Linked DNA regions of Callithrix jacchus. The protein of the gene in region 5 purifies or fractionates together with the protein of the main gene of each other region. This does not show direct contact. Links are inferred from orthologs where the notes say so. Each region holds a gene or a part of one and is shown on either strand. Other genes may lie near its edges.

The links.
Region 1: the proteins of ASF1B (region 5) and NASP purify together in Homo sapiens (affinity purification with mass spectrometry; 5 studies listed by BioGRID and IntAct, counting the BioPlex papers as one, with this or other methods). This does not show direct contact. The link is inferred for Callithrix jacchus from reciprocal best matches to the Homo sapiens genes ASF1B and NASP.
Region 2: the proteins of ASF1B (region 5) and HAT1 purify together in Homo sapiens (affinity purification with mass spectrometry; 6 studies listed by BioGRID and IntAct, counting the BioPlex papers as one, with this or other methods). This does not show direct contact. The link is inferred for Callithrix jacchus from reciprocal best matches to the Homo sapiens genes ASF1B and HAT1.
Region 3: the proteins of ASF1B (region 5) and MCM6 purify together in Homo sapiens (affinity purification with mass spectrometry; 4 studies listed by BioGRID and IntAct, counting the BioPlex papers as one, with this or other methods). This does not show direct contact. The link is inferred for Callithrix jacchus from reciprocal best matches to the Homo sapiens genes ASF1B and MCM6.
Region 4: the proteins of ASF1B (region 5) and IPO4 purify together in Homo sapiens (affinity purification with mass spectrometry; 5 studies listed by BioGRID and IntAct, counting the BioPlex papers as one, with this or other methods). This does not show direct contact. The link is inferred for Callithrix jacchus from reciprocal best matches to the Homo sapiens genes ASF1B and IPO4.
Region 6: the proteins of ASF1B (region 5) and MMS22L purify together in Homo sapiens (co-immunoprecipitation; 4 studies listed by BioGRID and IntAct, counting the BioPlex papers as one, with this or other methods). This does not show direct contact. The link is inferred for Callithrix jacchus from reciprocal best matches to the Homo sapiens genes ASF1B and MMS22L.
Region 7: the proteins of ASF1B (region 5) and CDAN1 purify together in Homo sapiens (co-immunoprecipitation; 5 studies listed by BioGRID and IntAct, counting the BioPlex papers as one, with this or other methods). This does not show direct contact. The link is inferred for Callithrix jacchus from reciprocal best matches to the Homo sapiens genes ASF1B and CDAN1.

The regions. Positions count from the first base shown.
Region 1 is NC_133508.1:82,319,329-82,323,879, reverse strand, and holds the start of NASP (nuclear autoantigenic sperm protein), read right to left. Parts: upstream 2,984-4,551; 5' UTR 2,839-2,983; coding exon 2,493-2,838; exon of another isoform or gene 2,415-2,492; coding exon of another isoform or gene 2,365-2,414; intron 1-2,364. UniProt on the Homo sapiens protein: Component of the histone chaperone network. Binds and stabilizes histone H3-H4 not bound to chromatin to maintain a soluble reservoir and modulate degradation by chaperone-mediated autophagy.
Region 2 is NC_133507.1:57,537,292-57,541,186, forward strand, and holds part of HAT1 (histone acetyltransferase type B catalytic subunit), read right to left. Parts: intron 2,047-3,895; coding exon 1,930-2,046; intron 1-1,929. UniProt on the Homo sapiens protein: Histone acetyltransferase that plays a role in different biological processes including cell cycle progression, glucose metabolism, histone production or DNA damage repair. Coordinates histone production and acetylation via H4 promoter binding.
Region 3 is NC_133507.1:94,681,265-94,684,314, reverse strand, and holds part of MCM6 (DNA replication licensing factor MCM6), read right to left. Parts: intron 2,632-3,050; coding exon 2,492-2,631; intron 1-2,491. UniProt on the Homo sapiens protein: Acts as a component of the MCM2-7 complex (MCM complex) which is the replicative helicase essential for 'once per cell cycle' DNA replication initiation and elongation in eukaryotic cells.
Region 4 is NC_133509.1:58,495,002-58,499,387, forward strand, and holds the start of IPO4 (importin-4), read right to left. Parts: upstream 2,957-4,386; 5' UTR 2,928-2,956; coding exon 2,859-2,927; intron 2,780-2,858; coding exon 2,693-2,779; intron 2,627-2,692; exon of another isoform or gene 2,595-2,626; coding exon 2,515-2,594; intron 2,429-2,514; coding exon 2,387-2,428; intron 1,981-2,386; coding exon 1,851-1,980; intron 1,761-1,850; coding exon 1,581-1,760; intron 958-1,580; coding exon 892-957; intron 787-891; coding exon 685-786; intron 599-684; coding exon 515-598; intron 1-514. Other genes in the region: TM9SF1 (transmembrane 9 superfamily member 1), read right to left, coding at 3,564-3,957. UniProt on the Homo sapiens protein: Nuclear transport receptor that mediates nuclear import of proteins, such as histones, RPS3A, TNP2 and VDR. Serves as receptor for nuclear localization signals (NLS) in cargo substrates.
Region 5 is NC_133523.1:12,910,530-12,915,087, forward strand, and holds the start of ASF1B (histone chaperone ASF1B), read right to left. Parts: upstream 3,106-4,558; 5' UTR 2,965-3,105; coding exon 2,856-2,964; intron 1-2,855. UniProt on the Homo sapiens protein: Histone chaperone that facilitates histone deposition and histone exchange and removal during nucleosome assembly and disassembly. Cooperates with chromatin assembly factor 1 (CAF-1) to promote replication-dependent chromatin assembly.
Region 6 is NC_133505.1:103,208,800-103,213,391, forward strand, and holds the start of MMS22L (protein MMS22-like), read right to left. Parts: upstream 2,910-4,592; 5' UTR 2,842-2,909; exon of another isoform or gene 2,619-2,841; intron 2,489-2,618; exon of another isoform or gene 2,192-2,488; 5' UTR 2,116-2,191; coding exon 1,952-2,115; intron 828-1,951; coding exon 702-827; intron 1-701. UniProt on the Homo sapiens protein: Component of the MMS22L-TONSL complex, a complex that promotes homologous recombination-mediated repair of double-strand breaks (DSBs) at stalled or collapsed replication forks.
Region 7 is NC_133509.1:30,490,526-30,494,420, forward strand, and holds part of CDAN1 (codanin-1), read right to left. Parts: coding exon 3,892-3,895; intron 3,713-3,891; coding exon 3,603-3,712; intron 2,861-3,602; coding exon 2,771-2,860; intron 2,117-2,770; coding exon 2,041-2,116; intron 1,555-2,040; coding exon 1,349-1,554; intron 1,072-1,348; coding exon 951-1,071; intron 830-950; coding exon 683-829; intron 523-682; coding exon 356-522; intron 1-355. UniProt on the Homo sapiens protein: May act as a negative regulator of ASF1 in chromatin assembly.

The DNA.
Region 1 (4,551 bases), on a different chromosome or scaffold from region 5:
CTTTATCCTACCCTTAAACATGAGGACCTTATAAACTTTACTTCTAAATGTCCCCTTAACTTACTTAACTGAGGTACACTGCTTTCATTGTTCTCTCACACTAATTAGATGGGGTAATGAGGGAATGAAAATGAAAATACTGGCTGGGTTTGGTAGCTTACATGGGTAATCTCAGCACTTTGAGAGGCCCAAGCAGGTAGATCCTTTGAGCCTAGAAGTTGGAAACCAGCTTAGGCAACATGGTGAAACTCATCTCTATAAAATAAATACAAAAATCAGCTAGCTGGGCCTTGTGCCTCAGCCTCCCAAGTAGCTTGAGTAGTAGTCCCACCTACTCGGGAGGTTGAGGCAGGAGAATCACTTGAGCCCAGGAGGTAGAGGTTGCAATGGGCCGAGGTGGCATCACTGCACTTCAGTCTGGGTAAAAGAGACCCTGCCCCCCACCACACACACAGCACATATAATTGCTCAGTTTTAGCTTTCAATTTATGGTGTCAGGAACTACTTAAATGGTTTGTTTTCTTCTAGCCACATATACATAAACTTTCTTTATGTATAACCTGCCAGGAAGCTAAGACTAAGTTCACTAATGACCTAACTCTGGCTAGACACAGAGGACCTGCAAGAGATAAAACACCTGGCCCTGTAGAGTGGCTCACACCTGTAGCCCCAACACTTTGGGAGGCCAAGGCAGGAGGATCGCTTGAGCCCAAGAGTCCGAGACCAGCCTGGGCAACACCAAGACCCTGTATCTACAAAAAATTAGCCAGGCGTGGTGGCACACAACTGTAGTTCCAGCTACTCAGGAGGATCGCTTGAGCACTGGAGTCCGAGGTTGCAGTGAGCTATGATCCCACCACTGCACTGTAGCCTGAAGAGCCAGACCCTGTCTCCAAAAACAGACACCTATCAGTGAAATACTGAATGCTACAGTTGTCTATGAAATATTATGAAAAGGAGCTCTTTTTTTAGTAATAGTTATAGCACGACTCCCAACCCCAATCTATACTGCTCCTATCGAACCAATAGGGAAAGAGGTAGGTTATGTAAGTTTGAAATTAAAATTGTATTTCCCATGAGTTGCCAGGTGATTCTCAGGGTGACTTGAGAACCACTGCTCTGCAAGTCGGCAGAGAAAACAAAAAGGGGTAAGCAGAGATATAAGTAAATCTCTAGTAACTATACATACACTAAGACATAATCATGTCAGTGTAAGCCTACAGAATATTAATTTTTAAAAACTTCACAACAACCATTCCTTTTACAGGGAAGGAAGCTAACCTCTAAAGTGCATATTAGAGAAAAAAATAGAACCAGATCCTCAAAAAGATAAGGCAAGAATGGGAAATCAGACCTACTCTATGGAAAATAGCACCTGTTTCCTTGAACTCACGTAGTGTTTCCCTCCACTGTTCAAAAAATACACGAGCCTGAGTAGCACTGTGCCACTTTCAAAGCAATCCTATCTTATTTCCCTCCAGTTCTTCTCCACTTCGTGCATCCTACTGCGGATTCACCTAGCAACCAAACACTGCTGGTGAGAGCTCCAGACAGCGCTTCCTGAAGACGCTTTGCCTCCGGGTAACGTTCCCCCAAAACAGGCAACACCTCCAAAGTATAAAGAACTACAACCCTCCCTACCACAGGCAGGAGCTCACTGAGTCGGAGGGAGCGATAAGGATCCTCCAGGATAAGAAGTGAGCTAGGCGCGGGGGGAACTAGCCTAGCTACCCCCACCAAGCCAGTCCAAGGCTCCTGCTGGAGCGGGCTGCGGCCCCAAACAATGGAGTTTTCCCGCCTCCTCGAGGCCCCGCCCCCTACTCCGGAGCCAGCGAGGGAAGCAAACACACGCGCGCAAACCCCGCCCACAACAAGGCCCCGCCCACTCCCGACGCCCTGAGGTCCAGCCTCCTTCCTCGTGCAGGGTTTTTTTTTTTTTTCTTTTGGCGCCAAATCTCCGTTGGTTCTATTCCCAGGTTATCCAGGAACTCTACCCGAGGCACAAGCTGGGGACAGAAGGGGCGTGAGGGCCAACCCACGAGCCACGGCCCCGCCTCCCGGTCAACCGCCCCGGGACGCGGGAGGAAAGAGAGGGGCAGGCGATGAATACAGCCGCCGCTGCCCCCGGCAAGATGGCGGCCGCGAAAAGCGGGGCAAGGGGCGCCAGCCGACCGCCGTTACCACTGGAGCGCTAGGCTCTCAGCAAGAGAACTGCTCCAGTGACCAGGCCTCCCCGAACAGCGACAGTTGCTCCTAGGAAGGCAAGTACTCCCGCCCACAGGTCTATCCCTTCCTCGGAGCCCCCGTCCATTAGCCCTCCCCGCGGACTGGCCAGTGCCTAAAGCTTTCCACAGTCCCGCTTACTTGTCGGCAGAAACCAGCTCCGCGGCAGCGGCTGTGGACTCTGTAGCCATCGTTCCCCTGAGGTGGCGAACCAGCGACCGGAATAGAGCCTGTGAGAAAACAAGCAATTTGGAATACCAAGGACTTACTCAGGGACAGAAAATGGCAGATTGGAGACCCCGCGCGGCTGGGCCCTCTTATATATGATGGCCCTTGGCCCCGCCCATCCACTTCCGGATCTTCCTCTTCGGGTTTAAAGGGCCAGGACCAATACCCCCCGCCCCCAACCCGGCCTCCCACTATCCGAGGACACCTCCTGCCCTCTCCAGATGGCTCCGCGGGATTGTTGCCCTCCCTAGCCCGCCTTCTCCGATAAACAGCAACTTCCTCCTTCTCCAGCAAGACGCGTAAGAAGAACTGGAATCTTGACAGTGTAACTCCTGACAGGAATCCCCTGCGGTATCCACAGAAAGGAAAGCCAGTGCTGCTCTGCATGTGTAGGGCAAGTAGCCAAAGTCTCCTTCCGGCCTGGATACTGAGTAAGGTGACTTTCTGTCCGTCCTCTCAGTCGTAATGGATGGACACTCAAGAGCGAGGACGAATACAACAGCAGCGGCTACAACTGATCTGGATGACATCTGGGCCTCGGCAACAACTGACGCAAGAACAGTTTGTTCTAGGATTGGCTACAGCTGAAGCTATCGCTCTTGATTCAAAGCTCTGGCCGCAGCGGGAAACGTCTGGCTCCTCCCTTTGGACCCGCCCCCTTTGGCTGGCCCAATCCGCTGATACCATCCTCGTAAACCCTGCCCAGATTCCAAATCTGGCTGGTTTAATGCTCGCAGTGCTTTTCGTCCACTCCTGGCTGACTTGCTCAGTGACTACATGTGGGGGTACTGTGATTAGACGCTTTGAAGTTCGCCATCTTATTCAGTCTTAATAATGCTACTGGTGAGATCGGTGTTGGTCTATTTCTTAGAAAAATAAACCAAGGGGCAGGGCGTGGTGGCTCACGCCTGTAATCCCAGCACTTTGGGAGGCCGAAGTGAATGGATCACTAAGTCAGAAGTTCAAGACCAGCCTGGCCAAGGTGGTGAAACCCCATCTGTACTAAAAAATACAAAAATTAGCCACGTGTGGTGGCGGGTGCCTGATATCCCAGCTACTTGAGGGGCTGAGGCAGGAGAATCGCTTGAACCCACGGGATGAAGGTTGCAGTGAGCAGAGATCGTGCCACTGCACTCCAGCCTGGGCGACAGAATGAGACTACATCTCAAAAACAAAAACCAGGCTGGGCGTGGTGGCTCAAGCCTGTAATCTCAGCATTTTGGGAAGCCCAGGCGAGCAGGTCAGGAGTTCAAGACCAGCCTGACCAACATGGTAAAACCCCTTCTCTACTAAATATGCAAAAATTAGCCGGCGGGTGCCACGCGCCTGTAATCCCAGTTACTAGGGAGGCTGAGGCAGGAGAATCGCTTGAACCAGGGAGGCGGAGGTTGCCGTGAGCCGAGAGCACACCATTGCGCGCTCCAGCCTGAGCGACAGAGCAAGACTCCGTCTCAAAAAAACAGTAACCCAAGTTTCCAGCCGGACCAACATGATGAAGCCCTGTCTCTACTAAAAATCCCAAAAATTAGTCGGGCATGGTGGCAGGCGCCTATAATCCTAGCTACTCAGAAGGCTGAGGCAAGAGAATCACTTGAACTCAGAAGGCTGAGGCAAGAGAATCACTTGAACTCCAGCCTGGGCAATAGAGCGAGACTCCGACTCAAAAAAAAAAAAAAGATCAGGGAAGGTGTGACTTGTTCAGAAAGTTGCAAGACAAACCAATTATGGAAAGCAGTGTGCCTCATTTCCTGTAACTAGCTGATTGAAAAATAACTGTCAGGCTAAAAATCTGCACTTCATCATACCTGGAGCACATCCATTCCTTTTCACCATGGCCCAGTCTACACTGATCAGAGTAGGGGTTATTTCCCTTCAGGTTCCAGCATATTGGGAAAGATTCCTGGGAAGGTTTCTTACTCCAATCTGTCAAGGCTTGAAGAGGTTGAAATCTTTGGGGCTAGAGAGCTGGATGTGAAAAATGCTAATTCCTATGGCAAAGAGACATGGACTCTTCCATTATTAGCTAGGTGACATGAGCCAGGTCATGTAACCTGGATTGTAATGGAGTAACTGGGATTAAGATTAAGTGTAAAATAAGGA
Region 2 (3,895 bases), on a different chromosome or scaffold from region 5:
TGAACAGAAGAATTACAATGACAAATTAGGAAATATAATTGCACCGGAAAGTAAAAAGATGCTTTGAAGAAAAAAGAGTTGGGATTCAGCAAGTACTGTGAGCCAATAAACCATCGGCATTCAAGACTGGTTCTATAAAGCAGAATGCATGGCAAAGAAACCTTAAATTTTCTTTAAATTTACAAAGGAAAGCCAAAACTACATGTACTTGATATAGTTATTTAATTTACTTTCGTCAGATTTTAACGAAGGTTCAACTTGGTCGTTTCTATCCCAGCTACTGTGCTGTATATAACCTTATAGGTATAGTATATATAAATGTAGCAATAACATTTCAACATTAAGCAATTATACTCAGTAATGACTTGTTAATAAATTAAGTATTCTGCCAATCAGCTCACTACTCAGCTGCAACTAGTTAGCATATTTTCTTTTTTTTTTTTTTGAGATGGAGTCTGCTGTTGTGTAGAATGAAGTGCAGTGGTGCGATCTTGGCTTACTGCAACCTCCGCCTCCTGGGTTCAAGCAATTCTCCTGCCTCAGCCTCCCAAATTAGCTGGGATTATAGGCACCTACCACCATAGCCAACTAATTTTTATATTTTTAGTAGAGACAGGGTTTCATCACGTTGGCCAGGCTGGTCTTGAACTCCTGAGCTCAGGTGATAGGCCCAACTCAGCTTCCCAAAATGTTGAGATTACATGCGTGAGCCACCACACCCGGCCTAGATAGCAAATTTTCATTCACACAAGGTGGAATGAATGATATCCATCCTGACAATGTCCAAATGGTAAGGCCAACTTAATTTAGGTGGGAAAATATGGAAAATGACTAAGAAGTGGGGAAAAAAGGGCAAGAAGAATGTTTAAAAATATAATAGTACTAACATGATTTCAGCTATGGTAAAGTACAGAGATTTTATTAATAAATAGCAACAAAGGCTATTTTTATGAAGAAGAAAGCAGAGAAAAAGAGAATATATATGTAACTTTGCTTTTATATGGGATGAGAGAAAAAAGAGTATGTGTAACAACTGAGAAGACAAGAAACTTGGGAAAAACAAGAAAATTTGTTAGGGAAGAGCTTAAGCATTCATATTTTTAAAATATGCATACAAATCAAAGAAAAGCTAACCACGGTAGATTATGCTTGGGATAAGTTTGATTGATTGAGACACAGTTTCACTCTGTCATCCAAGCTGGAGTGCAGTGGCACAATCTCAGCTCACTGCAACCTCCACGTCTTGGGTTCGAGCAATTCTCATGTCTCAGCTTCCCAAGTAGCTGGGATTACAGGCACACCCTACCATGCCCAGCTATTTTTGTATTTTTAGTAGAGACGAGGTTTCACCATGTTGGCCAGGTTGGTCTCAAACTCCTGACTTCAAGTGATCCACCCACCTGGGCCTCCCAAAGTGCCAGGATTGCAGGCGTGAGCCACCACTGGGAAAAGTTTCTAAATGAGTGAAACATATGTATAACTTATATTGGAAAATTATGAGTGAGAATTTTTTTTCTGAGATGGAGTTTTGCTCTTGTCAGCTCACTGCCACCTCTGCTTCCTGGGTTCAAGCAAATCTCCTGCCTCAGCCTCCTGAGTAGCTGGGATTACAGGTACTTGCCATCATACCCGGCTAATTTTTTTATTTTAGTGGAGACAGGGTTTCACCATGTTGGCCAGGCTGGTCTTGAACTCCTGACCTCAGGTGATCCACCTGCCTCAGCCTCCCAAAGTGCTGGGATTATAGGCGTGGGCTACCACGCCCGGCCATGAGTGATTATTTTTATAAATAACTGGAAGAATATTTCTACTTTTGTAGAAGTTAATTTTACAAAATGACTTGGACTCTCCCATATACTGACATTTGGTAGCTTTTCTTCTGTTTTAAACAGTGAAAAGAATAATGTTGAAGATTCTTGAAAGTCCTACCTTATACGGGCTAATTAGTCTTCTTTTAATATCCAATCTATAGCTTCTGTATTGTTCAGCATTACTCATGTCAGTTACCAGTAGTCGAAGAATTTCATAAACCCTTCTAGCATGTCGCTAATAAATGAAACAAAAGAAAAACGTGAACACTTTCAAAGTAAAAATAATGACACTTTTCCAAAAGAACACAGGATATATTTAATATCTGCCATGTGCAAGGAATTGTGCTAGATACCAAAGGAAAGGCAATAAAAGTCATTGCCTTCAAGCAGTCTAGTGGGTAATACAAATGATTATGGTATGGATAATTTAATGTGGCACAAGCATAGTTCAACGCAGTCTCAACCTCCTAGGCTCAAGCTATCCTCCCACCTCAGCCTCCTGAGCAGCTGGGACCATGAGCATACACCACCATACTTGGCTAATCTTTTTGTGTGTGTAGAGACAGGGTCTCACTTTGTTCCCTAGGTTGGTCTTCAACTCCCAGCTTCAAGCAATCCTCCTGCCTCAGCCTCCCAATGTGTAAGAATTACTGGCATGAGCCACTGTGACAGATTTTAAATGGGAGAGTAAGCAACATGCACAAATTTGAGTTTTAAGTCAGTCAGTTTTTCAGCTTCATAGAAATGGTAGCAAAAAGAAGGGCAGAGAGACCAATCAAGAAGCTGAGCTATTACATCAGATAAAAAATGATGACGGCATGAACTGGAACAGCACAAATAAGACAACTAAGGGGACAAGGACACTAGAAACATATAAGAAGAAAAAATGACTTAGAGGAGAATGTAAAAATGTAAATTTTCACAGCCTAGGAGAGATTTGGGAGGCAGCAGCAAATAGAAAATCTGAAGAAAATTTTAGTCTAAGGGGAAGGATTTAAACAATGTCAATATATAGGTAACAGTTAGAACCATAAGGTTGGTTAAGGTCACCTGGGGAAAGCATTTACAGTGATAAAAGGAGGTCAGTCAGAAATCTGGTAGTACAGTGACAGTTAAAAAGCAGACAGGGCAGCTGGGTGTGGTGGCTCATGCCTGTAATACCAGCACTTTGGGAGGCTGAGGCGGGTGGATCACAAGGTCAGGAGTTCGAGACCAGCCTGGCCAACATAGTGAAATCCCATCTCTACTAAAAATACAAAAAAAATTGGCCAGACGTGGTGGTGGGCTACTTGGGAGGCTGAAGCATAAGAATTGCTTGGACCTGGGAGGTGGAAGTTGCAGTGAGCCGAGATTAAGCCATTGTACTCCAGCCTGGGCAATAATACAAGACTCTGTCCTAAAAAAAAGCAGACAGGATGAGGCACAGTGGCTCATGCCTGTCAGTCTCCAGCACTTTAGGAGGCTGCCAAGGTGGGCAGGTCACTTGAGCCTAGGAGTTTTAGAACAGCCTGCAGATTGTGTGCTAATGTTATGACAAAAAAAAAAAAAAAAGAACAGTCTGTAGAAATCTTGTCTCTACCAAAATTAGCCAGGCATGGGGGCGTACCCCTGTAGTCCCAACTACTTGGGAGGCTGAGGTGGGAGAATCATTTGAACCCAGGAGGTTGAGGCTGCAGTGAGCTGTGATTACACCACTGTATTCCACCTCAGGTGACAGAATGAGAGACCCTGTCTGTCTAAAAAAAATAATAAAAATAAAAATAAAGAAAAGGAAAAAAAAGACAAGTGGTATCAACGAAATATCAGAAGAATCAGGAAGTTTCAGTAGCAATGAAGCCAAAGGAGAACCACAGTTTTCCTGTTGGTGTTGTTTCACTTGTATATTTATTTGGGCAGGGAGTTAGGCTATGGGTAGGTTGGGAAGATGATTATCTTCTGACCTTCCTGGAAGGGAACTTGAGTTGAGAATGAAAAAGTGAGTACTATTTGGCCAGGCAAATAGGAGATGAGAGTATTTCAGGTAAAGAGAATAGAATATGTAAAGGAATACAGAAGGAAGAAGGATGTGGCAGAGTTGGGAAATG
Region 3 (3,050 bases), on a different chromosome or scaffold from region 5:
AAGATCATATCACTGCACTCTAGCCCAGGCGATAGAGCAAGACTCCATCTCAAAAAAATAAATAAACAAATAAATGAAAACATAATCAAAGTTTAGATCACTTAAATTCACAGTGTGTTCCAAAGTCCTGAAGTAGATTCCTTGCCTGGGTCGTTTTACCTTACATGGATTCCAAGGAGCACATAGACATGTCCTACCACTAGAAAAGCAACTCTGGATTGTGATCTAGTAGCTGTTCTCACACCTTCCTACCCCCCAATAATCACTGATCTACTTTATAGGAAAACTGTTTTTCAGAAGACACAACCTTAATATGTGACCTCTGTAATATTATGTAGTGAGTACTGTGAACTGAATTGGCACAAAGGTTAAATCTCTGCCACGTAATAGAAAAATTCAGTCATTCAACATATATTTGATCCTGCTATGTGCCAGGCACCACCGTAGCTCCTGGACCAAGTCTCTACCCTCATAGAGCTTATATGCTGTAAGAGAGACAAACTACACACTTAAATAAAGAATATACTGCTGGGCCATGTTAAACATTATAAAGAAATACAAGGCAGGGTGACAGCAAGAGCAGAAGGATGCTGTTTTGACAGGCTAGGCAAGAAAGGCTTCTTTGAAGAGGTAACATTTGAGCAGAAATCGGAGAGGAGGAGGAGATCTAAGGAAACAGACAAAGCGTGAGTGCAATGGCCCTCATGTTTGGTGTGTCTAGGGAACAAGGCCAGTGTCACTGGGGTGGGATGGGCAAGGGATGACCGCTGTGAAATGAAGTGAATGAGGCAGATGGGGTTTACTGGGTAAGTTCTGCAGACCATGTCAAGGGGGCTAGATTTCATTCTAATGTGAGAGACGCACTGGAAGGGAGGGTAGTAAAATAATGTGATTTATATTTTAAAAAGACCTATCTGCTGAGCAGGAAGCCAATACAAAAAAAAGGACAATGCAACAGTCCAGGCATAGTAGCTTGGGTGGACGGTAAAAAGAGAACAGAAAATACATACACACTGAAGGCCGGGGTCACAGGATTTGCTGCTGAAGAGTTGTTGTGAGGGGAGAGTAGAACCAAGAAGTCAAAGACAACTCCAAGGCGTTTGGCCTACCTACCGCAATTGAGTAAGAACAACTCAGTTGCAAACAGGGAAGAACAACTCTGTTTTTGAACACATTAAGCACAAGATGCCTGTTAGCTCATCAGTGGGCAACCAGCTCTATCCATCTGGAGTTTAGAGGAGTGGTGAGAGCTGCTGACATAAATGTGGAAGTCATCAGTAGATGGGTAAATTCATAAAACCAAATGAGATCACTTAGGTAATGAATGTAAATAATCTGAGAGTAAAGTAAGAAAAGAAAGATTCAGGCTGGACATGGTGGCTCAAGCTTGTAATCCCAGCACTTTGGGAGGCCCAGGTGGGTGGATCGCCTGAGGTCAGGCGTTCTAGACCAGCCTGGCCAACGTGGCAAAACCCTGTCTCTACTAAAAAAATACAAAAATTAGCCAGGCATGGTGGTGGGCGCCTGTAATTCCAGCTACTTGGGAAGCTGAGACAGGAGAATTGCTAGAACCCAGGAGGTGGAGATTGCTGTGAGCCAAGACTGTGCCACTGCACTCCAGCCTGCGCGATAAGAGCAAAACTCTGTCACAAAACAAAAAAAAGAAAAAGAAAGACTCAGGAAAAAGAGACTAAGAGGGAATAACCAGTGAGAAAGACCCAGGAGGATATAGTGACTCAGAACCAAGTGAAGAAGACGGCATTTCTAGGAGTGATAAACTGTAACAAAGCTGTGGACAGGCTGAGTACTGAGAATAGCCAGCTGACAGGAGTGGAGAGAAGGCATGTGATGGTCCTGTGAGAGACTAGGGCAAAGAACTGACCAAGGAAAAGGAATTGCACTGGGCAGTGCTGTCATGAGGCTGATAAGAGTATAGGAACTGTCTACTTGAGATTCCTGGTCATCAATTTAAATAAGACTGGGCTCACAATTGTATGCTTTTCTCCAGATACTTTTAGCTGCTTAGATAAGGGTACTACAGAGAAAAAAAAAAGAGGCTTTATTTAACTAAGTTTGGGGTTTTTGCCAAGCAAGTAAGACACAAAAAATTCAAAGGGTAAGGAAGAGTGACTATTGGACTGGGCAAGGTGGGAACCAGGAACTAAGGATGTGAGGAAAATGAAGCATAGAAAGTAGGTGACAGTACAACCAAGGGTGAATATGAGGGTGGAAAACAGAAGCTTATAACACCCAACTAGTAAGACCTTAATCCCACTTTCCAAGATTTAACTGCAATTCTGCTGGTTTCAGCAGAGGAAATAAATCATTTACCTGCTGTTAATTCTCCCTTGTTTTACAACTCATACTTCTGACTACACTCCAATGATTCAAAACAAACAAAGGTTAAAAAAAATTTCACTAGTGAACCTACAGATACAGGGCATGAACTCCCACCCCCCCGATACCACAGCAAGCGCATTTCTGCACTTACATAGTGTGTGAGTCGATGAATGACTTTCTCTATGATTCTTTTTTTATTTATGAGTTCTTCTTCAGAGTCTATTTCTGATTCGATTTCCTTCAAGTACCAGTTAATGAGCTCGCTCCTCTTTAATGCTGACTCGTCTTCTTCTACAAAAAAAAAACACATTTAAATTATTCTAGCAAATTGTACTGTCAGTCCTTGATTAAATTTCTGCCACATATACAACAATATAATGTACAGATTAAACATCAACCTGTCCGAAAGTACATCTACTGACGTAAGGTCCACAATGTTCTAGTGTAAGCCTGAAATAACACGTTGTTATCACTTGTATTAAAGTATGCCTTCCTTTATCCATAAGGAGAAAAACCTAATAAAATGGAGATAATAAGGAATACATTTCTTAAAGCTATTAGGATTTCAAAGTATGAAGGTCTTTTCTTCATCTTATGCTTCACCACTTCTAAGAATGTTTTCCAACAGAAACTGAAAGCATAAATTAGGAATGAAGCAACAGCAAGCAAAAATTCTGAGACGTAACTATTGTTCCTCTGTAGAAAGGGGA
Region 4 (4,386 bases), on a different chromosome or scaffold from region 5:
ATCTGCTCCCAGGATGGGCTCACATTAAAAATTCCAGTCTTGGCCAGGCATGGTGGCTCATGCCTGCAATCCTAGCACTTTGGCAGGCCAAGGCAGACAGATCACCTGAGGCGGGGAGTTGAAGACCAGCCTGACCAACATGGAGAAACCACATCTCTACTAAAAACACAAAATTAGCTAGGCATGGTGGCACATGCCTGTAATCCCAGCTACTGGGAGGCTGAGGCAGGAGAATCACTTGAACCCAGGAGGCAGGGGTTGTGGTGAGCTGAGATTGCACCATTGCACTCCAGCCTGGGCAACAAGAGCAAAACTCTTATCTCAAAAAAAAACAGTCTTCCAGGCCATAGGGGTCTGACAGAAGATTCCCAATATCCGAGGCAGGAGTTGGGGTGAGGCCAGGGCAAGGCTTGAACCCCCATAGTACTTTAGATACCCTGAGATGGACAGAAAGCCCCAAAAGTGAGATTAAGGGTGGAGATGGACAGTTGGTGATGTGTCAATGGTAACTCACCTTGCTTTTGACTTTGACCAAGAAAGTGAGGGAGCAAAGGATACGTACACGTATCGCATTGCCCAGGGCCACATTTCTAGCCACCTGTCCAGAGAATAATAAGAATCAGAGCCAGGCAAGCAAAGTCCCAGCAGGGCATGTAGCCGGTGCCATGTCCATTCCAGGCTCACCTCCAGGCAGAATGTGAGGACCTTAGAGAGGTGGGGAGTGATGATGGGTACCTCTGACTCCAACAGTTCATCCAAAGCCTCAAGGGCCTCACAGGCCTTTGCCTGACAGACAAAACAAGGCACAGGGTGACCATGCTCTTCTTCAGTGGGCCCAGCTGACACTTCTGCACTCTCCTTCCAACAGAGCTCCTGCCCACCTGTCCTCACCTCGTCTATGGGGATCAGGGTCTGCACTGCCACAATCAGCTTAGGCACCAACATCTGAGCGAGAGGCTAAAAGACACATCACAGAGAGCATGATGCAGCCTAATCTTACAACCCAACAGCTGGCAGCTTCCTCACAGCCTGAATTGTGAGGAGGAGCCCAGGAACAAGCCAGGCCCACCTACAGCATCCCCTCTCAATTGTCAGGAAGGGCCAAAGGCAGGTAAAGAATCCAAAGCAGCTTTGGGTGTGTGTGTGTGTGTGTGTGTGTGTAGGGGCCAAAGGCAGGTAAAGAATCCAAAGCAGTTTTGTAGGGTGTGTGTTTGTGTGTTTTGAAACAGAGTCTCGTTCTGTTGCCAAGCTAGAGTGCAGAGGTGCGATCTCAGCTCACATAACCTCTGCCTCCCTGGTTCAAGTGATTCTCCTGCCTCAGCCTACCGAGCAGCTGGGACTATAGGCACACACCACCACACCTGGCTAATTTATTGTACTTTTAGTAGAGACAGGGTTTCACCATGTTGTCCAGGATGGTCTCGATCTCTTGACCTTGTGATCTGCGTGCCTTTGCCTCTGAAAGTGCTGAGATTACAGGCATGAGCCACCATGTCTGGCACAGCTTTGTAACTTTTAAGGGTGAGGACATGAAGGCCTGAGGAAAGGCAGTCAGTGATATGAGTGGGCCCACATCTCACCACATCTTCAGTGCTGAGGTAGGGGGCCATGGTGGTCAGAGTACGCAGGGAGTAGAAGAGCAGCCCAGGAGAGCCCACCTCACCAAGAGTCTCATTCAGAAGCTGAAGAAGCTCCCTATGGTGGGGTTGGAAGGCCTCGGGCCAGGAGGTCACCACCACACTCAGCAGCAAAAGCCCCATCTGTCCAAGAGTAGAGGATGGGAGGGCGAGCTTACATGGTCTATCCGGCCTCTTGGGCCCTCCCTCCTCCTGCCAACTATGTAATGGTACCTCTCTCTCTGGGCTGTGGGGGCTGTGGGTACTGTGCTGAAGAAGCTGCAAAAGCTGAGGCCAGGCCTCCAGGCCTTCCTTTCGAAAAATGGTGCCTGAAAGCTGGGCCAAGCTGAGGATCACACAGTGCCTGCAAACAGGAGAGATCTCCAGTCACCCTCCAATGCCTTCCTCTTGAGTGGCCAGACTCATTGGGGCAGCCAGGAGGGAAACTTTCAGGAGTGGTGGGCACAGGGTCTTTGCCAAGTTGGGACACATGAGATAGAAGCTCAGAGGGAGCCCAGCTGCACTGCGGGCATGTAATCTGGTAAGCTCAGTCTTACTTAGCCTGAATTTCAGTCTCATTCTTCTGACTTTGGTTTGCCAGATCATCATCACCCTTTCTCAAGAACTTCAGTCTTCGAAACAGCCTTAAAATCTTCACTTTGGTCTAGAACGGAAGTCCTTGCCCCCCAAGTCCCAGCCTGCAGCTGAAGGGGAAGGCAGAAACCCAAAGAAGGTCGTCAAGATCCCGAGAGAAGGGAGTAGATACTCACTCTGTTTCTCTCTGCAGGGCCGTCAAGATCAGGGACTTGAGGCTAGAACACAGATGGCAGGTGTTTGGTACCCGGCCTGCCCAAGAAAAGCTTCCACCTGGCCCCGCCCCGCCCCAGGCCCAGCCCACCTCTCCCGTTGCTCCGCCGCCAGCCGTCGCCAGCGGGTGTTCAATCGTCTGCGGGTCAGCACGGCCGCAAACTGGCGGATCTGGGACGAGGAAGTAGGCATGTGGGGGTCCGGTAAGGAAGGTGCTGAGGGGACCGCACGGGGCGTTTACTGGGGCTTGGCCAGTGCAGGGGTCTCACCTGGGGGTCGGCTGCCGAGGTGAGCAGGTCGCAGAGAGCCGGCAAGGCGGCGGGGGCCCGCAGAGCGATGTGGAGCTGTTCCGTGGCCTAGGGGAAAGCTAGGAGTGAGAGTCGGGCCTTTCCCGCAACCTCCCGCTCGCCCTGGTCGGTTACGCCCGCTCCATACCCGAAGGATGCGCTCGGTGTCCGGCAGCAGCAGTTCCCGTAAGAGCTGCTCCAGACTGGCGGGCTCCATGGCAGCAGCTGAGCCGCCGCTATTGGGCTGAAAGGGGGAGGGGGAGGGGGAGGGACAGCACGTGGAGGCTGACAGCCACTTCCGGCGGAAAGGGCGTTGCCGCACGCCCCGCGGGTCGCCAAGGTGATTCAATTCACTTCCCACAAAGACGTCCGGCTCCTCCACTTCCGTTAGGCTGAGCACCGGCTGAGTCGCGGAAACCGTGCTCTGGCAATATAGGTTCCCCACGCTGAGAGTTCCCAAGCTGGGTTGGAGAACTCGAAATTCGGTTATTCCGTGGCCAGCTCCGCTTTCTAAAGGGCCGTGCCGTTAACAGCAGGGCTCGCGTTTCTATATCCAGACCAAAACCTCCAACTACATGATCCTTTTTCTTAATAAATTTTATTTTGATAATTGTAAAAAGAAAAATCAGGACCAAAACTAAAGGCAACTTAAAAAGTTCAAATATATATTCCTTAATATAATAGAGATTTATAATTTCCAGGCCCTCTCTGGGGAAGGAAGACCCAAAGGGCAAAGGGGAAGGCAACAATGCCATCACACAGTTCAGTCACTCAATCAAAAGAGAAGCTGGTAGGACAGCTCAACGGGGCGTGAAGAAAGGGAGAGAACAGCAGTAGTTCTGCCATTCAGAACTCAGTCCATTTTGAGGTTAACATAGATATAACGGATGAACTTGAGGGAAGAAAAAAAGGAGATGGTGCCCAGCATGAGGAAGAAGACATAACCAGTGAGTAAGGAGTAGCCAAAGAACTCTACTGTCTGTACTGCCCCAGACATGTTGGAGCGCCGGGCATAATAGAAAACTGAGTAGAGGAAGATGAAGAGGCCGGTGGAGCCAACACTTAGCACAGATCGCCACCACCAGCGGTAATCCTCCCCAGATAACTGGAAGTAGGTGAGTGCAATGGAGATGCAAGCCCCCACACTCAGCAGGATAGCGAAGACAAAGAAGAGGATGCCATACAAAGTGTACTGCTCCCGACCCCATACTGTGGCAAAGATGTAGTACAGCTCCACAGAGATGGCACTGTGAAGAAAAGAGATGATACACAGCATTAAAGGGCTGTGCACTGTCAGCACGGTGGCTGGGCCAAAATCCAGCCCCCACCCTCTCCCATGTTGCTGGGTCATTGTGAAAAGTGAGTTCACTCCACTCTCTGCCCCAGAACTCCTAGCTTCATGGGAATTTTTTGCCTATGATTAACTGCTCTCACTTCAAGAGTATCTTCCCTGATAGGTTAAGGGCAGGGATGTTGTCCATTTTACTTTCCACTTCATTCTCTGCTTGGCACAAAGAGGTATTCAACAAAGTAAATGAGTAATCAAATAGGCTTTAAGTCTCACATGATGGCCATAGACACTAAGGTTGGAAACCAGGAAGGTGAAGAGGGAGATGTCTCTAGAGAGCTTTATAAGTGAGATACTCTCATATCTGAACTGATTCAAGCTCAGTCCT
Region 5 (4,558 bases):
CAGGCACGCACCACCATGCCCAGCTAATTTTTGTATCGACAAGGGGTTTCACCTTGTTGACCAGGATAGTCTTGATCTCTTGACCTCGTGATCCACCCGCCTCGGCCTCCCAAAGCGCTGGGATTATAGGCGTGAGCCACTGTGCCCCGCCAAGTCATTCCATTTCTATTAAAAAATGACCAGCAGGGCCAGGTGAGGTGGCTCATGCCTGTAATCCCAGCACTTTTGGAGGCCAAGTCTTGTGTTCAGGAGTTCGAGACTAGCCTGACTAACGTGGTGAAATCCCATCTCTACTAAATTAGCCAGCCATGGAGGTGCGTGCCTGTAGTCCCAACTACACAGGAGGCTGAGGCAGAATTGCTTGAACCCAGGAGGCAGAGGTTGCAATGAGCCAAGATCGTGCCACTGCACACCAGCCCGGGCAACAGAGCAACACTCTGTCTCAAAAAAAAAAAAATACCAGCAGGTTGACTTTAGCCTTTCCAACTAATTCTCTAAGTAAGTTAGTAAAGTCACAGGACAGGAGCTTCCTAGGAGTAGAAGTATCAGATAATGACCGCATCACCATTTGTAAATGCAAGGAACACAAACAGGCTGATTGAAACCCGATCTCCTGCCGCCTGGAAGCTGGGAATCCCTCAGCCTATTACCTCCTTCCATCTCCTCCTGGCTTTTAAATTAAATCTTATTCCACAGTGACATTCTACACTTTATTTATTTACATGCTGCCCTGTTCCAGAAAGGATTTAACTTGGCTTATTCTATAGTTAGCCACAAGTAGACTCCTCAGGAAGAGGTGGACCTACTGGCCTACCCAGAGCACATCTGAATCTCACTGTATCAGCCCCGAGCTAATACACGCCACCAGCTTGGAGGGGAAACCACCCACCTGACCCCAAGAGGCACTAGTTAGCACCCCCGGCTTCACAGGCCACTGCACGGCCACCTCCTCGGCTGTGCCTTTTCTCTTTTAACCACCAAGTAGAAAAATGGCCTAATGAAGTACTTCTTCCTGAAAGCAGGACTCGCCTTTTAGTGGTGCCAAGGCTCCCTGGGTGACCTTAGATTCTGGATTGTACAAGCCTTGACGTGAAAGGTCTTTTGCGCTTTGTGCCTCCTGTCCTCTCATCTGTGAGATGAGAGCCATGTGCACCTTTAAGTCACACAGATTAATAAGTACATCTGCGGAAGCACCTTGGAAAAGATGCGTAAGAGGCTGTGACCCCTAAGCTCCAGCTGACTGTTTGAAGCTGGAGCCTGTCAGAGCTCAGCCCAGTCCACCCACCCCCAGACTAGGTCAGACCATCAAAAGCAATGGAAGCTTGGCACTGATTATCCAGCTATATAAAAGAAGAAAGGAAGAAGAAGAAGAAACAAGAAGAAAACTAGGCGCAGTGCCTCATGCCCGTGTAATCCCAGCACTTTGGGAGCCTGAGGCAGGTGGATCACAAGGTTAGGAGTTCGAGACCAGCCTGCCTAACATGGTGAAACCCTACTAAAAATACTAAAATTGGCCAGCTGTGGTGGCCTGTGCCTATAATCCCAGCATTTTGGGAGGACAAGGTGGGTGGATCACTTATAGTCCATAGTTCGCAACCAGCCTGGCTAACGTGGTGAAACCCCGCCTCTACTAAAAATACTAAAATTAGCCGGGCGTAGTGGCAGGCGCCTGTAATCCCAGCTACTCAGGAGGCTGAAGTTGCAGTGAAGTGCCACTGCACTCCAGCCTGGGCAACAGAGCAAGACTCTCTTTCAAAAAAAGAAGAAAAAGCGAAGAATTGCTGCAGTCAGTCAGCTGGAAATGGGCGGGCAAACCTGGGGAACTACTAATGCCTGCCTGGCTATGCCACCCCTCGGATCTCAGCGTGTATGTCCAAGCCCACAGAAGAGGGTGGGGAAAGGGAGCTGGGGAGACCAAGTTACTGCAAAGGGTAGCATCCTTCCCCGGGGGAGCTCAGGGATAGGGAGGTTGGGCCCCAACGAAGGAGGGAAATCAGGTTCCAGGGTATGTGCATTGGGGTAGAAAACCAGCAGCAATTGGTGGGGGGCAGGGTTATTGAAATATCGGCAGGTTGGGGAGGGGAGAGCCGGGAGACAGATGGGAAGATGGGGGAAGAGAGCGGTCTTGACAAGGGATTGACGGGTTTTCATAGGGAAAAAAGGTTACTGGAGGGGAGGGTCTTCACGGTGGGGGGAGAAGGGAGTTGGGGGAGAGGTCTCCATAGGGGAAATAGAAAATGGCTGGGATTTTCCCCGGGAAAAATGGGAAGGGGCTGGAGAGTGGGGTCTCCAGAGGGAAAAAGGGAGATGGGAGTATCTCACTATAGGAAAGAGTCTAAGTGGGCAAAAATGGGTGGGTGGCTGAAACAGGGGTCTTGCCACAGGGAAGCCACAGTGGCTGAAGATCTCCGTGGGTTAAGAAATAGAGGCCGAGAAGGTCTCTGCATGAAAATGGGTACCTCGGAAGAGCTCCAAAGAAAAAAGATGGATGAGGCTCCCCACGCTGGAAATGGGGCTTGGGTGGGGGGCGTTAATCTCTATGGGGAGGTTGGGGCGGGCAGTGGCGAAGATCACTGGGATGTCCGAGTTGGCTAGCGGGAAGCCTCCACCCGGGAGGTCAATGCGGGCAGTGGGGAAGGAAGTCCCGGGGAGGTCCAGGTTGGCTGGTGACTGGGGGGGGGGGGGTCTCCACCCGGACACCGGGTTGACTGGCGGGCTGGGGGAGATCGGGGTTAGCTGAGAGGGAGGACGAGGAGTTTCATGGGGGAGATCAAGTTGGCCATGAGAGCAGTTTTCCGCGGGGAGGCCGGGGTCGGCCCGAGGGTGGGGATTAACCCGCACAATCCCAGCCTCACCGTCCGCCAGGGCTTCACTGCACTCGAAGCTGATCTCGAACCGGAAGGGGCTGTGGAAAGGGCTCGGGTTCTCCAGTACCGCCACGTTCAACACCGACACCTTGGCCATCGCCTCGCCTCGCCTCACTGCGCTGCAGCAGGGGCAGGGGCAGGGGCTGTGGCCGAGGCCGCGTCTGGGTCCGGTGGTGAGGTCAGCGGGGTAGGGTTGACAAAACCCACTCCAAACTCTTCCCTCCGCGGACTGAAGTGCGCATCTCGTACGCGCGCCGCCTTCAAATAGCCGGCCTCCGCCCTCTGGCCAATCACCGCCAACGCTCCCTGGCGGCGCGCGCACCCTCTCAGCCAATCCTGGAGCGCCAGTCGGCGCGCGCCCAGACTCCTTGGACCAATCAGCGGAGCTCCCTCTCCGCGGAGCGTGAGGAGGGTGGAACCACCTCCAGGCTTCTTAGCGTGTCCTCTGGGAACCAATCCCCAGCGTCTCCGACTAGGAGGTCAACGGCAGGAGTGGACAGAGTCAGAGCGCCGGCCTCCTGCTGGCCAATCCTGAGGGTTCCCGCACCGGCGTGGCCCGCCCCTCGCCCCACTATTCCGGGATATGTATCCCGCAGCGCGCAGCGCCGCCAACCGCCGAGCGGTGGCGCGCGGTGCTCGCTAAAGAAGGCGGGAAGGGCGGTGCTCGCACCCCCAGTGATTGGCAGGAGGGAGTGGGGCGGAGATAAAGAGGGTTTTTTGAGAGTTGATTGGCTGGATTGGTAATGAAAGCGGGAGCCTAAGGAGGCTCAGCTGGGGATTAGTTGGAGAGAAGCGGAAGTGGGAGTTACCCTGGTGCCGGGGTGTGTGAAGAGAGAGGAGGAGCGTTTGCGGCCTCAGCGTCTGTTCAACAGGTGAGCGTCTGCTGGAGCTTTTCTGAGTGGCTGGCTCCTGACCTCGAGGTGCAGCAGCCCGGGTGTCCGTTGTGAACGTTGTGAACGTTCGGAGTGGCGGTCACGCGCCGCGCTCGGACCTCGGGAGTCTGGCCGAGTTTGGATCCCGTTCTTGCCCCCGAGGGGTTGGAATCCCTTTCTCGCCCCCTGGTGGGCTCTTGGGAGGTTTCAAGCGGACGGAACTGAAAATGGGAGTTCCAGTTCGAGTCGGTGCTCTGCTACTCGGCTTTCGAGGCAGCGTCTCCCTTCCCATTGAACGGGCCGTGGAAATTCCCTGGCATGACTCATGACCACATAATACATCCAGAAACTTCTCTCCGCCGCATCCCACCTGGGCCGTCGCCTGGGAGACTGTCCCACGGGAAATCAGCGCTGCCCAGTGGAAAAGTAATGCCTGCCGCGCACCTAATTATACATTTTTTGGAAGCCACTTAAAAAAAAACCGAGTCTCGCTGTGTGGCCCAGGCTGGAGTGCAGTGGTTCCATCTTGGCTCACTGCAACCTCCACCTCCCAGGTTCAAGAGACTCTCCTTCCTCAGCCACCCCGGAGTAGTTGGGATTACAGGCGCACACCACCATGCCTGGGTAATTTTTGTTTTTTCGTAGAGACGGAGTTTCTCCATGTTGGTCGGACTGGTCTCGAACCCCTGACCTCAAGTGATCCGCCCGCCTCAGGCTCCCAAAAGTGCAAGAATTACAGGCGTGAGCCACAGCTCTGAGCCGCTAACACACAGCGTGTTGCGTTCTTTTACCCAGTGAAAAGACGTTGAGATTCCTTGT
Region 6 (4,592 bases), on a different chromosome or scaffold from region 5:
TCCTGACATCATGATACACGCTCCTTGGGCTCTCGAAGTGCTGGATTACAGGCATGAGCCACTGCACCTGGCCGAGCTCATGGTTTCTAAAAGGCCCATATTTTTAAATTCATACTGAAGTATTTATGGGTGAGATGATATGATGCCTAGAATTTGCTTAAAAATACTTAAGTCAAAAGAAAAGAAGATAAGACAGATGAAGGAAATGTAATAAAAAGTTGTTTACTATAACTGAAAGAGGGCATATGGACATTCATTATATTATTCTTTTGTGTATGTGTAAAATTTTTCATTTAAAAAATTTTTTTATGTTGTCCAAATAGAAATTAGCATTTCTATTACACAGTCTAAAAGATTTATTTAGAAAGATCATACTCTAAAGAGCACTGAAAGACTATGGCTATTGAATAACCAAAGTATTTTAATTTTCTTCCAAAATTATAGTTGAAAGCCTCAAATATTTGTCAATACATGATGTCAAATGCAAAGAATAAAAATTCTGAAAATGAAATGCAACTCATTAAAACCATTACTCATCAAGTGTTGCTGCCTGATTATTGTTACTGGTAAGATAATCAAGTGAGCAACCAGCACAATTCTCCTGGTCTTTTGTAGTATCAGTATTAGAAGCCACCCAACAATGTAGTTTACAAAAGTGAACAACACCTACACTCGCAGAAAGTTAAAAAAGAAAAAAATACCTGAATAAATGAAAGAGCTCTTTGGATGAATTCACTAATGCTGTTTCAGTAACCCACTGAATGCCAAATATTTCCGATGTATCTTCTTCAAAATTAGTTGGTAAAGGATCAAGATTCAAAATTAATCTGAAATTAAAATTATGTTTTAATCTCATAAAAAGTATATTAAGCACCATAATACAACAGCTCTTCTCTTTACATTATTCAAATCCATATTATACATGACACATATAAGAAGTCAGAAAACGCCTCCGTACTTTACACATTCAAGATTACAATAGCTAGACTGTATTAAAATGTCAATCTTCCATACTGATTAAAAGTATAACTGAAGTGCAATGTAACTTAAGAGGAAAAACTGGCCGCGCGCGGTGGCTCACGCCTGTAATCCCAGCACTAAGGAAGCTGAGGTAGGAGAATCGCTTGAACCCGGGAGGTGGAGGCTGCAGTGAGCCGAGATCGCATCATTGCACTCCAGCCTGGGAAACAGGGAGACTGTCTCAAAAACACAACAAAACAAAAAACACCAAGAAGGATTCTAAGAAACATATTTCTGCCTGTCTTCACCAGTTGTCTTCAGTTGCAGAATTTCATCCTAGAGGAGACATTTAATTTTTAAAACTGCTAACAGTTATTCTGAACCAAGTCTGGAGAATTGTATCCAACTAATGAAGGTGGTACTTTAAGGTCTCTAACAAGGTACAATTAAAAAGTCAACAAAAATTAATTTCCTGACTGAAACTGCCTCAGAAGGTATTACCAAAATATTTCAAGAATAGCAGTTTTACTGCAATATGTATGTACCTGCCCGATGTAAAATAAGTCTACAAGACTTCTGTATGTATAGATAGCATTAGAAGGAACAGGTCAACAAAAAATGTTTGTCTTTTGTAAAAATTACTGGAAAGCTTCAGAGTATCATCACACTCTTTGGAAGGAAATACCATTTCAAAAGGCTCATAGTTAAGAATTCACTTTAAGTAAAAGAAAACTTAGTGCCCAGCTCCCTACAGTAAGGGAACATCAGTTACCAAGGAAGTTTTCCCTAATACACAAAATACTTTTGATACGCCCTTACCAAGAAGCCAACAGCAGAACTGATATTCATTTGTACCATTATGATATACTAAGCTGATTTATAAAACATTGTTCGGCGACCACCAAAGTTTAGTGGGCTGAAATGACAACTAACATTCCTAAAAAACTGGTGAATAATCAGATGAGGGAAAAAAAGTCTGAGTTTTACCTACCGCTTAAGGGCTCCACTGTAGAGGTGGGATTCTCCAGAAAAATGTTTTCCTCCTCCTCTGTTGTCAACAGCACAAGAAAAGCAAGGAGGTTTGCACCACTCTGTCCCCAGCTCCAGCTCTAAGCTGTCAGTCAGGAACGTCGGGGAAGCAAAACAGTTCTCCATTGTTTACTTCATGTTCTGAAATGTTTGAAGGTCGTCGTATCCTTAAGGGCTCCAAAGAGAGGGTGTGAAGAGATTCCTGGAGGTGGGGGCCGACAGACTGGGGGTTACCTCACAAAGTTCCCAAGACGTCCCCCAGCACGAAGGAAAAACAAACGAAAAACCCAGACCAAATCCCCAGTTCTTCTCCCCCGCCGCTCCGCCCATCAAGGGTGTCAGAACTTAAGATAAAATGCACAATCAACTCTGGCTGTGGCAGGGACTTCGAAATCCGCCCACCAGGTCCGACTCTGCATCCCAGAACAAGGTGAAAAGGAAAGAAATGTCTGCAGGACACAGGCGTCCCGGGCTCGCCTCGAACTGCGCCCTCTGCAACGTCACTAACCCGCCCTCCGCCCGTTTCCCAGCAGCAGGATAGAGAAAGCTCCCTCGCCAGCTGGGGGTGGACACCAGGAAGGCAATCCCTAGCGCCAACCCCGACCCTCCGAGCCGCGGGCGAGACCCACCATGCTCGCGCCCGGCAGCACTCGGGTGGAGAAGGCGGGGAGACCGCATCCTGCGCACCCAGCTGCAGCCGGGACCCCGGACGTCGGTTGCCCGCGGTGCCTGGCGTACCTACTCAAACTTCCAGCCCCCGAATTCTGCCTCCTAATACCCCAACCACAACCAGGAATCTGTGGAGTCTAAACCGCAAACAGGCGAAATTCCCGCCACCGCGCGCCCGCGTACCGGAAAGGCGGAACCGCGGCGCAGCCGGTACCCGGCAACCAATCCCTTCGCGTTATCTGCGCGGAAACAGTCGGCGCTCCACGATTCTCGCGAGAGTCTGTCAACCTGGGACAAAGTACAGAAAAACTTTTTTTTTGGACCTTTAATTGGTGCGTTCGGCTGGAAGGAGGGGCCTGGCTAAAAAAAAAAAAAAAAAAAAAAAAAAAAAGGAACTGCTGCTGAGGCGGTGGAGAGGCGGGTTTAAGGCCTGTGGGTTTCTCTTCTGGCCCGACCGAAGGGAAGAGATTTAACTCCAGTGAGTACGAAGTGAGTGACTCGTTCACACCCACAGTCGCTCCGTCGCCTCTTCTCGCTCTAGGGCCAGCAACTCTTGTTAGAATGCAGGATACCTTTTATTGTCCATGGACTGTGAGGCAGGCAAGTGTAGCAATGAATTTTCTCTGTAACCGTTGGAACAAGTAAACAGAAAATTAGTGTGGAAATTTGGAAAGCACTACCAACCAGCTTGACCTAATTGACGTTTATAGGTGAGCAACCCAACAGTAGCAGAATACTCTCTTTCTCCCTCTCTCTCCCTCACCCCCTCTCCACACACACACCACTTCTTAGTAGCAGAATACTCTCTCTCTACACACACACTTCTTACAAGAAAACTCCAGGCCAGAGCAGGCACAGTGGTTCATGCCTTTAATCCCAGCACTTTGGGAGGCTGAGGCAAGTGGATCCCTTGAGACTAGGAGTTCCAGACCAGCATGGGAACATGGTGAAACCCTCTCCCTGGTGTCTAAAAAAATTAGCCAGGCGTGGTAGTGCTCGTCTGTAGTCGCAGCTACTTAGGCTGAGGTGGGAGGATCACTTGAGCTGGAGAGGTCAAGGCTGCAGTGAACTGTGAATGTGCCACTGTACTCCAGCCTGGGCACTCAAGCAAGACCCTGTCTCAAACACAACAAAACAAACAAACAAAACCCTCCAGGCCTAATGACATTACTGTTAAATTCTCCCAAACATTTAAGGAAGGAATAATACAAATTCTATACTAACTCGTAGAGAAAATAGAAGGAGATTGGATGCTTGTTTTATGAGGCAAGCACCACAGTAGTATCAAAACCTGGCAAAGAAAAGAAAGGACAACCACAATCTGATATCACATGCAAATATAAAGGCAGAACTGTTAGGAAGCAAAATCCAGCAGTACATAAAAAGGATGACATATGACAGCTGGGCGCAGTGACTCACGCCTGTAATCTCAGCACTTTGGGAGGCCAAGTGGGCAGATCACTTGAGGTCAGGAGTTTGAGATCAGCCTCGCCAACATGGTGAAACCCCCCGTCTCTACTAAAAATACAAAAATTAGCTGGGTGTGGCATGTGCACCTGTAATCCCAGGTACTTGGGAGGTTGAGGCAGGAGAATCGCTTGAACCCAGCATACAGAGATTGCAGTGAGTCAAGATCATGTCACTGCACTCCAGAGTGAGACTGTCTGAAAACAAACAAAAAGGATGACATATGACAAGAAAATTAGATTCATGTTAGGAATATAAGGTTATTCACATTTCTACATGTAATCAGTTCATTATATCAACAGTCTATTAAAAGTAAAATGAAATCATTTCAATAGATGCTGAAAGAACACTTGAGAAATTCAACATCTGTTCATGATAAAAACTCTCTGCCAACTAAGAATGGAAGAAAACTCCCAGCTGATATGTGATATCTATGACAAACCTGCTATTAACATCATACTTAATTA
Region 7 (3,895 bases), on a different chromosome or scaffold from region 5:
ACAGTATATTGGTTTGAGAACAGAGGCGGCAAAAGCTGTCACTGGAGGCTGGCTCACAAAAACAGACCTAAAAGGGACTGGGGCCATGTCGGCAAGCAGGATCTCCCCAGCCTCCCCTCCTGCATCTGGACCGTCTCTCAGCAAGGCCACCTCAGGAACAGCACGAGGCCAATCAAAGTGCAGATGATTTCCCACTGTCTGCCTCTGGGGAGCCAATTCTGCCTCTCCCACGGCTCAGTTATGGCCAGGGCACCACGCAATGCAGACTCCTCAACCCTCTTTATCAATAACAGGCTTGACCAGTGTCCCCCTACTCTGGAATCCTTTCGTCAAACCTTAGCCTGGCTCCACTCACCGGTGCAGGCGCAGCAGGAGAGTGAAGATGCCCTGATAATAGTCCAGCAAGGGAACAACATGGTCAGCAAAGGACAGGAACTCCACCAGCCAGGGCACAGTGAGCACCGCCCGGCGGGCCTGCAGCCCTCGCTGCAGCAGAGTCCGTACATCCAGGACCGGAGGGACCTGGGAGGGCCAGAGCTCAGTTAGAGGGCAGGTCCCTGGGAAGGGCTGGGAGATGCTCTCTAACCTGCCTGGTTCCCGGAATAGCCAAGGAAACCAGTGAGCCTCAGTGCCTGGCTGGTCCTCCCTGCTCCCTCCTCACCAGAATCCCCCGCCCATTCACCTGGCTCCTGAGGGCCAGAATGGAGTCCTGAAGCTCACCAGTCGGGGGAGGTTCAGGCCCCCGGTATGGCAGGAAAGCTACAAAGCCCAGGAATTTGGCCAAAAGCCTCAGGCTAAGAAGCACCACAGCAAATTGCCTCCGTTCACCCTGCATGGAATCAAGGGAAGTAAAAAGTCCAAGCATGAGGCTTCCAGAACAATTTTTTCTTGAACATATTCCCTTCCCTCCAGGGTCAGACCCCATTATTTCCCTTGTTCTGTTTTCAGACCTGCCAGTCTACATCTGACTCCCCATCTTCATCACTGGGCTCATGCTGGGGCAGGGTGAGGCCATTGAGCTCCCGGATCTTCAAGCTCAGACTGTCCATGAGATGCTGGTTAAACTGGAAGCTGAGAAGGGGTGGGTGGGGCATAAGCACTGGAAGAGGTGCAGGAAGAGGCAGATTCAAGAAGGAGCACTCCAGAGGGAAGGGAGCAGGACAGAAAGGGAAGCTGAGGAGCAACAAAATCACCCATGTGGGTGACAGAAGTGCAATGAAGCCAGCAAGTACAAGCTGGAAGAAGCCTATTCTGTTATATTCCAGGCAAAGGAGACTGTTTACCCTTTTGGGAAGTTACACCTTTCCTGGCCTCTGCCCCATTCCTTGTAAGACACAGGGGAGCCTACCTGCTGGCACTAAGAATGAAGTCCCTGAAGAAGCCTTGACAGCCTGGGAAGGTCGGGGGTGGGCAGGGCCCCCCACTGCTCTGAGGGGTCACAAGCCGTTCCTGTAGGCGCCACAACCGCCCCAGCTTGTCAGCTCCCAGCATACTCAAGACATCTGGGGCCTCGCCCAAGACAGTGCCCCCAGCACCGCCAGGGCTCTGACACATCTCGGGTGAGAGAGAAAGGAGAGAAATTAAATAATCAGTAAGTGGGAGGGAAGGACTGAACAAAATAAGGAGAAAGTAATCAACATTTAAGGAATGCACTTTAGATAGCTTTTCTGAGGTGTGAATTACAGGATTGTTTCACAGGTGAAACTAAAACTGCAAGGTTAAGCATGCGCCTAGGGTCACTAGCTAGGATCTGAAACTAAGCTTGACTACTTACTAAGCCTGGGCTCCTTACCACAGCACAAATCAGAGGGAAAGCAGCAGCAGGCTGGGGGAGATACAGGGTCCAGGGCATGTCAGAGAGTGCCCTGGCTTTTCTTTGTCCATGCAAGTTTCAGCCACCCCACCAAGGAGTAGAACTCTTGTTCAAATTCCAGCCCAGGACATGCCTGGCTGTCTGCCCTATCCCAAAGTGCAGTCATTACGTGGCTGCCTCTGATATCTGCTGTTTAATGTGGATTAATCTCTTGCTGGGGCTGTTACCTGGAGTAGTTGTTTTTGGAAAAGTCGAACAAAGTGGCTGTGACTGCAGGCTGCAGAGAGCTGACCCATCATGGCTCTGAGGAACAGAAGGCAGGAATGAAGGGTGTGGAGGGGAGAGAGAGGAAGAAAGATGAGAGAAGCAGCCAACCCTTGGGCTTCCCAGCCCTTTAGCAGGAACTTGAGCCAGCCTACACAGGGACATTGAAGGTAAGGGACACTCCCTCAGCACCAAGTTCCCCAAAGTTAGAGGTGCACTTAACCAGAATATCACACCATCCCTCCTGTCTTCAGCCGCACTGACAGGTGGCGAGTTTCATGACCGATGTGAAGGGAGATGACTGGACTGAAGTAGGCATTCTGAGCCCAGGCATCTACCTACAGTGACCAGACTTGCCCAAACTAGAGAATGGAGAAAATGGAGGCTAGATGCGTCTAACCAGTGGCTTGGGCCAAAAAAACTCCAGCAGCCTGGGTTAAGAGCTTTGGACTTTTTCCAAGCATTTGCCACTACAGAATAAGAATAAGGCACTTTTGAGTGAAAAGAGCTTAAGAGACACATCCCTTTCAAGTAGAGGCAGAGTTATCAGTAACTAAAGATATTTCAGACAATAGAACAGAACAGCTAAGGGCTTGAAGGAGATGGGGAAAGCCTTCCCTCCTCCATCAGTTCCCTGAGCGGCACTGAGCTACTCACTGCCAGGCACAAGAAAGACAAGGTCTGAGCACCCACCTGATTCTGCTGCCCAAGCCCTTCTCAAAATCCCAGCCAGCCTCCTCATGGTGATCTTCCCACTCTCGCAGCACCTCATAAAACACATCCCTAACGCATAAGAATGCCTGATCAGCTGATATACTCACTCCCACCAGTGTCTTCCCACCCCTGGAAGAACTGAGGACAGGACTATCCACAGCCCCATTTTTTTTGTTTTGTTTTTGGAGATGGAGTCTTGCTCCTGTCACTCAGGCTGGAGTGCAATGACGAAATCTCGGCTCACTGCAACCTCTGCCCCTTCCCCACCAAGCGACTCTCCTGCCTCAGCCTCGGTGTCCCTCACCACACCCAGGTAATTTTTGTATTTTTAGTACATATGGGGTTTCACCATGTTGGCCAGGCTGGTCTTGAACTCCTAACCTCAGAGTTCAAGTACTTTGGACCTCCCAAAGTACTGGGATCACAGGCATAAGCCACTGGGCCTGGCCAGCAGCCCCATTTTTTAATCTCTCAAGAATTCTCTACATAACGGCACTATAGACCAGCAGCAGCATACTACAGGCTTCATGTGCTTCTGTGGGCAGTTCACCCTGACACACTCTTGCCTGAGAACCCTGAGACTAAAGCCATACACCTGTGACATGGCTGGGTAAGCGCTAGGGTTTAGGTCCACAGGTGCACAACAGAAGGAAGCCAAGTGGCCCCTATGATGGCCGGCAGTAAAGACCTGGGAGGACTAACCCACCACCTAGTTAGTGCTAAACTCATAATTTTTATGAAACCAAAACAGCTGCCTAGTCCAGAAAAATGTCATCTCATTCCCTCCCCCAAAAGTCCCTTTTCTTATCACCTCTGTTTTTTAAAAGTATGAAAGGCTCGGTCACTGGAGAAGTTGGCACGATTGTCAGTCTCTGGCTGAAAGGAGACAGCCTGAGCAGAGGGTGGCATCACCAGAGAGACCTAAAATACAGCAGGAACATTAGGAACTGCAGGGTCATGCTGAGAAAACTTCTCCCTCTTATTCTCGCCCAAAGTTAGCTCACATTACACTTAAGTGTCGTCAGCAGGGTTGCAGGACTTTATGTAAGCTAAGCAAGGATCAGGTCCAGGCCAGTGGGCATCTAAGCTGGAGTTACTACCTTG